Linked DNA regions of Cricetulus griseus. The protein of the gene in region 1 interacts with the protein of each later gene in a biochemical or structural test. Links are inferred from orthologs where the notes say so. Each region holds a gene or a part of one and is shown on either strand. Other genes may lie near its edges.

What was found. The genes of interacting proteins can lie anywhere in the genome.
Region 2: of the proteins of Syk (region 1) and Flt3, one has a biochemical effect on the other in vitro, tested with the Homo sapiens proteins (2 studies listed by IntAct, with this or other methods). The link is inferred for Cricetulus griseus from reciprocal best matches to the Homo sapiens genes SYK and FLT3.

What each region holds. Positions count from the first base shown.
Region 1 is NC_048596.1:271,569,958-271,573,605, forward strand, and holds part of Syk (tyrosine-protein kinase SYK), read left to right. Parts: intron 1-2,574; coding exon 2,575-2,784; intron 2,785-3,648. UniProt on the Homo sapiens protein: Non-receptor tyrosine kinase which mediates signal transduction downstream of a variety of transmembrane receptors including classical immunoreceptors like the B-cell receptor (BCR).
Region 2 is NC_048597.1:83,274,652-83,278,399, reverse strand, and holds the start of Flt3 (receptor-type tyrosine-protein kinase FLT3), read left to right. Parts: upstream 1-1,109; coding exon 1,110-1,251; intron 1,252-3,748. UniProt on the Homo sapiens protein: Tyrosine-protein kinase that acts as a cell-surface receptor for the cytokine FLT3LG and regulates differentiation, proliferation and survival of hematopoietic progenitor cells and of dendritic cells.

The sequences.
Region 1 (3,648 bases):
CTAAATCCACCTGTAAAGACCACTGGCTACATCCCAAATTACTACAATACTGGTTATGTGTGCTTTTCTATGTGCCTGTCAGATTTGCTCTGTTTCTATTCGGTGTGTGTGTGTGTGTGTGTGTGTGTGTGTGTGTGTGTACACACATGCCCATGGGGATCAAACTTGGGTCATCAGGCTTGGCAGCATGTACCTTTGCCTCCTGAGCCTCTCACTGCCCCCTTACTAACTAGTTCTGCTTTTATTCTCCAGTTTGAAAGTTCAGAAAAAAAAAAAGGCAACTTCTCGTTCTTGTAGAAATTTTACCACAGATGTGATTTTTCAAGTCATACATAGTTAATGTTTGTTCTTTCATTTAAACCACATTTTGTTAGAAAATTTTCAAGAGGTCAGCATGATCCACATGATATTTTTATGAGAAAATGAAAAATCTATGTTATGGAAACATGTTGAGGGCTTGCTTAAACTTAACAAAGCCTAATGAGAGAGAGGTGCAAACTAGGCATGGTGGTGACTACCTGTGATCCCCAGCTTCCCATAGGTGGAGACAGGAGGGCCAGAAGTGTAAGGTCATCTTCCACTATACCGTAAATTTGAGACCAGAATGGATTACATAAAACCCTGTCTCAAAAAGAAAAAAATATAAAACAACGTATGCTCTTTAATTCTGGGCCCAGATGCTCATTTTCAATATCACAAAGGAACCTGGTATTCATGTATGCATATAACCTAGTTGGCAAATTACATGACATTGCAGGGAGCTATATGTATGTCACAGCTGGTGGATCTTTACAGAAGCTGTTTTAATATTTTACAGTCTGGGGGCTTTGCTCAGCTTGGAGCATTCTCCATCAATGTCCGGTACCCTGCTTTACAGGTTGTGGGGCATTGTTCTTCTGTCTATCAAAGAACAATAGATTGGAAGACTGTCTGCTGCCGAGGCTAACCCTGGGTGATGTAACCAAGCACCTAGTCATTCTTCCAGTGCACCAACCACAAACCAGAGCACAGTTCCCCCCGAAGTCCAACCTGGGGGACCAATGAGCTTATTAGGCTTGCTACAGAGCATGTATGAGGGGTTGCTTACAGGAGCTGCACCACTGAGAAGCCTGGCTTTAGTGTGGATGATGGCTTCTACAGGGATGTGTATGGTCCCTGTCTTAGTTAGGGTTTCTGGTGCTGTGAAGAGACATCACGACCATGACAACTCTTATGAAGGAAAACATTTAATGGGACAGCTGACAGTCCATGATCATCATGGAGTGACATGGCAGACACTGTGCTAAAGAAGTAGCTGAGAGCCCTACATTTTGACTCATAGGCAACAAGAAGTGGTCTGAGACACTGGGCGGTATATTGAGCATATATGAGACCTCAAAGCCCACCTCCACAGTGTCACACTTCCTCCAACAAGGCCACACCTCCTAATAATGACACTCCCTTTGGGGGGCCACTTTCTTTCAAACCACCACACCCCTCTCACATACACCCTCACACACTCCTGCTGACCTTCACAGTCTGTGTGCTCTAGTACCTCCCAAGACCCTGAGTCTATGTTCAGTTAGGACAGAATCTCATACAGTTATCTGGGAGGTGCCAGAGAGTCACAGGAGTCCAGGTGACAGTCCTGTGATTGTTCCCACACTTTCCTTCTGTGAGGGATCAGTGGCAGACAAAGCTGGTCTTGCTGCTCTCTTGCAAAAGGCATGGCTGATCTGACAGGAATGACAGCTGTTATATTCAGAGGGAGTTAAAGATGACCTTAAACTGTTGGTCCTCCCGGATCTACCTCTGGGATGCCGGGTGCCGGGTCACAGGTGGTCACCTCCATGCCCAGTTCACACATTGTTAAAGCTCAGAGTTAAAGATAAAGAAACACTTCTCTCCCCCCAACGGGTTTTGTTAAATTTAAGCAACCCCAATGTGGTTCCAATATATAGATTTTTTTTTCATTTTCTCACTAAAATATCGCATGGATCACACCAAACTCTTGAAAATATTCTAACAAAATGTGACTTAAATGAAGGAACAAACATTAACTATGTATGATTTGAAAAACTACACCTGTGGATAAAATTTCTACACAAATGTGTAAAATGATACTAGCCATTTTTCAGAGCATTTGCGGTGTGTGTGTGTGTGTGTGTGTGTGTGTGTGTGTGTGTGTGTGTGTGTGCAGGTGCTCTTGTCACACCACCCATATAGAGGTCAAAGGACAACCCTGGGTATCACTTCTTATTTTTCATCTTGCTTGAGACAGACTCTTGGGGTTTGCTGCTGGCCCCACAAGTGTCCGTGGATTATCTCTTGTCTTCTTGCCCTGGAAGTGCTGGGATTCCAGACATATTCCACTGTATCCACTTCCTGTGGGCTCTGGGGATCAGAACTCGCGTCCTCACGCTTGCAAGGCAAGCGCCTTGCACACTGATCTGTCCCCCTAGCCTGTGGTCGTTTTCTGAATGCAGCAAGCATGTCAGCATTCCCGACCCCAGCCACCCCCGGGGAATGTGCCTCACAGGGGAGAACTTCTAGACAGCTTTGCAAGTTTCTCAGGAGCTACAATCTGTATTATAGAGTTACGAAAACAGTGGCTGTGAAAATCCTGAAGAATGAGGCCAACAACCCTGCTCTGAAGGACGAGCTGTTGGCGGAAGCAAACGTCATGCAGCAGCTGGACAACCCCTACATTGTGCGCATGATTGGAATCTGTGAGGCCGAGTCCTGGATGCTGGTGATGGAGATGGCAGAGCTGGGGCCGCTCAACAAGTACCTGCAGCAGAACAGGTGCGCGGAGCTCAGGAGCCCAGGAGCTGTGCTGTGCTGTGCGCGCCGTGCTGGGGCCTGGTTTCTGTGGGGAGCTCTCTCTCTCTCTCTCTCTCTCTCTCTCTCTCTCTCTCTCTCTCTCTCTCTCTCTCTCTCTCTCCTCTCTCTCCTCTCTCTCTCTCTCCTCTCTCTCTCTCTCTCTCTCTCTCTCTCTCTCTCTCTCTCTCTCTCTCTCTCTCTCTCTCTCTCTCTCTCTCTCTCTCTCCCTTACTACCTTCCCACATTGCTCCCTGCTCAGGGAATTGAGAAACCAATGAAGGAAGATGCAGCCTTTGGATCTAGTTCTTTTAGCTCTCTCTCCCCCACCCCCGGCTTCTTCTCCGTCTCCCTCTCCCTCTTTCTCTCTCTGCGAGTGTTTGCACCTATGGGTGAATGCAAGTGTGTGGAGAACAGAGGTCAATATTGGGTGTCATTCTCTATCCTCTGTCACTCTCCACCTTATTGTTTTTTATTTATGTGTATATGTCTGAGTGAGTGTGTACCACATGAGTGCAGATACTCACAGAGGCCAGAAGAGTCAGAGCTCTTGGAGCTGGAGTTTCAGACAATTGTGAACCTCCCAACCAAGCTCAGGCCCTATACAAGAACAACATGTGTTCTTAACCACTGAACAATCGCTTAACTCTCTGTCTTACCATTTGAGACAAGGTCTCTCATTGACACTAGAGCTCACCAATTCAGACAAACTGGGCTGGCCCGGGACCCTGGGGATTCCAGGTCCCGACTGCCATACCTGGCTTTTATATAAGTGCTGCGGATCCCAACTCAGGTCTTCATCCTTGTGCATCAAACATTTTACCAACTGGGGCATCTCCCTAGCCTTTG
Region 2 (3,748 bases), on another chromosome or scaffold:
AGTCATATGACCTTAAAATACCTAAAGCACCAAGCCCATGTCATTTTCCGAGGTGGCTGCATTATGGAAGTCACTTTGAAGTTTCCCCTAGAGGGAAACTTGATAATGCTGTGGGTCGCAGCCGAGGAGAAACAGTGATGACGGTGGTCGTACACTCACAATGGTCATGCCTGAAGAGAAAACTATTAAAAGGGTGAAAAGCATAGAACTGCTGTGATGGAGAGACATTACCGACCATTTGATCCACATCTGTCATTGTGGAGAGGGATCTAGGACGCAGAGGACAAATGGCTCAGGAGGGCTCCTCAATGGAGAAGCCACGGCTGCTAGCCTGAGCTTTCAATATTCAGCTTGATGCATGGAAAATAACTGTCACCTCGAAACACTATAAGACTAAAAGCCAGAAGTAAGAGAGGACAACTCCAAAGATCCTTTGAGATGCACTGTCTAATTTGTTTGAGCGTGTTTAACCTCCCCAATTTATGCAGTTGACATTGAAACAGAGTCTGCGTTTCTGTATCGGAGGTAGATGGAATCTTGGCTATCCTAAGAGATAAGAGGGAGAAGACAAAGAAAATCAATCCACACTGAAGATCTACCATGCGAGGAATAAAATCGTCAGAGTCGCCAGTGTGTGGTACCGATTCGGCACCCTTCATGGGGCGTCAAAGACGCCCGCGCGAAGAGGGAGGTCTGTGGGTCACCGCTCTTCTCACACTCCGGAATCTTAAAGCAGAGGTCCGGGGACTCCCGGCAACCGCAACACGGCCCGAGCCACCCAGTCCGAGCAACTTCCCCAGCAGGACCACACCCAGTCTCCCCCGCCGCAGTCGGGTTGCCCCGGGCGCCAGGAGCGCAGGCTGTGGACCACGGCAGGCACGTGGGCTAGGCGCAGTGCTGCGCCACTTCGGCCCGCCTGACAGCCCCGGGGCTCGCGCGCTGCCCCGGCCTCTGGGGAGAGGTTCCTCCCCCTCTGCTCTGCACCAGTCCGAGGGAATCTGCGGTCGGTGACGCGCATCCTTCGGCGAGCCACCTGCAGCCCCCGGCGCGCCGCTGGGGCCGCATCGCAGGCTGGGCGGGTGGCTTGGGTACCGCGCGCTCCGGAGGCCATGCGGGTGTTGGCGCGGCGCGGCGGCCGACTGCCGCTGCTCGGTAAGGCCCCTCGCCCCCTCCCCGCCCCGGCCGAGTGCGCACCCCCGCCCCCGAGCTCCCCTCGCCGCCGTGTCCCTCACCTCTTTCGCGCCCTCCTGTGCAAGCGGTGAACTTGGCTGCGGCTCGCCCCCCCCCCTCCGCTCTCGCCCCCACCCTCCTCCGCAGCGCTCCTCCGCAGTCCCCAGGCCGCCGCGCCTAGGCTTGGGTTTGGATGCGCGCGGCCAGCCCTGGAGTCTGGGCAGTGCAGGTGGCCCAGGACCCCCTGAACTGTCCCCCTGGCTACTGTGGAGTCTCGGGAAGTGGCGTTCTCACCTCTTTGAGGCATGGGTTGACTGAGTAAACTCTAATGGGAAAACGGCATCTTCTGTTAGAGCGGTCATCCCCGCTGGTGACCCCCACCTGTGCCAATTTTCGGTTAGATCAATGGCTAGTTACTTTGGAAATACTATCCGAAACGGATTTACAAATTAAAATATTAGCGGTCCTTCTGTTCTTATCCTAGGATTAAACCCTAGTGAGATTTTCAAGGACTCTGAGGACTGCCCTCCCAAATTACCTGCTTGGGTGGTAGCTGTGATTGAAAACGTTAACCATAAAGAAAAGTTCCCCTTCCGACCCAGTTCAGATCGGTTCGCGTCAGCTTTCTATTTGGGAAGATGAGGGGGTTGGATTGAATTTAAGTTGGAGACAGAGTTCTGGGAGCCTGGAGAAGATCGGGCCCTGCCCTAGTTTTGCAGCCTTGGGAGGCACTCACGGCCTGGCCTTGGCGTCCTCATCTGCCCGGTAACCTACTTCCCCTTCGGCTCCAACGCTTAGGAATAAGGCTTGAACATCGACGACAAATAGAAAAAATATTTACAATATAACCAGCAGAAATTATTTCCGGTCGCTTTAAAAAATAAGAATTACAAAGTAAAAAATGTAGAATATAAAGAAGTGGGAAAATAGACGTTTTACCTTTCTTAAACAGTTTTGTAAATAGGTATATTTCAAATACATAGCTTTGCTTTTCAGGTTCTGTTAATGCAAAAGGGTTTGGTTGTGTATGCTATTAGTGCCTTTTTCCATAGCAGAAAAGATTTTCTGAAGGGCTGAAGGGGTCTAGGGAAGTAACTTGGTATCAGAGCAGCACTTGCAACCACACTCAAACCGCACTAGACTCCTTCTTAGGAAATGTCTATATTCCTCTCCAGATTCAAAATGCAACACACAGACAACAAATATGCACAATCTTAGGAGTCCATCCGTCCGTTATATTTCAGTATGTCCTCGTAATCACGGGAGGGGGTCAAAACACAGGGTGGCTCAGCTCCAAAGTGACCACCACTCTGATTATCTCAAACTCTGTATTACTTTTGCCTGTTTTTGAAATTCACAAAAAGGAAATCACTATTATACCCCACCCCTCTCCTTTCTTTTTTCAGTGCTGGGGATCGAACTCAGGGACTCACATAGATGAGGCACTCTCCTAACTCTTCCTTCATGATCAATTTCTTTCTGTACTACCTGTTTTTATGTGTGGACAAGTGTTGACCTCCATGGGCATGTGTGCCTGTGAAGGTCAGAAAAGGTGGCCAACTCCCCTTGAAATGAATTTGCAGATGGTTGTGAGCCACCGTGTGGGTGCTAGAAACCAAACCCAGGCCTTCTGCAAAAACAGCAAGTGCTCCTAACTGCTGAGCCAGTTCTCCAGACCCAGTATTCAGCCTCTCTAACTCAACAGTGCTTGTGAAAGAAGACTTTGTTCCCTGTAGTGTAGTTCTTGAAAACAGTGCTGGCTGCCATTCTTTGATATGATACTCTTTGCCCTGTGTTTATACATTCCTTTGATGATCATTAAAGCTCTTCTTGGACTAAGGATGTGTCTCTATAGCAGAGTACTTGCTTAGTATACATGAAACCCCTGGGTTCAATTCTCAGAACCCCCTTTTTTAAAGTTGCTTCTGTTTTCGTTGTAAATACAAACAATACTCTGTGTCCATCATCTGGTTTTGGTGGACCTGAACTCTCATTTCTTGTAGGATTTTCCCAAAGGGAGGGCATATATGCAATTTGGGTAGGTACTGCAGAGGTGTTTTCCAAAGTAGTTGTACCAATTCACATCCCTACTAGTGGTATGGAAGCTCCAGCCCACACCTTTATGATGCTCACTCATAAATATTTTCTTCTTGGGTAAAGTAAGGATCTTAAAAGTAAGGACTTTCAGCCAAGCATGGTGGTGCACACCTTTAATTCCAGCACTCAGGAGGCAGAAGCAGGCATATGTCTATGAGTTCAAGGCCAGCCTGGTCTACAAAGCTAGTTCCAGGACAGCCAGGGCTGTTTGTTCACAGAGAAATCCTGTCTGGAACAAACAAAAAAAGAGTTAAATTTCTTGCATTACAAAGAAAGAGGTTGGTTTCCTTTGTAAGCACTATTTTTCATGGATAGAGGCTCTGGAAGAGAGGGAAGGTGTGACTGGATTTTTCTTTGGGCTGCCACCTCACAAATAATGACACGGAGACTTCATATTCATTAGGAAAGCTTGGTCTATAGCTTACGCTTATTCCAAACTAGCTCTTATAACTTAAATTAACCCATTTATATTAATCTATGT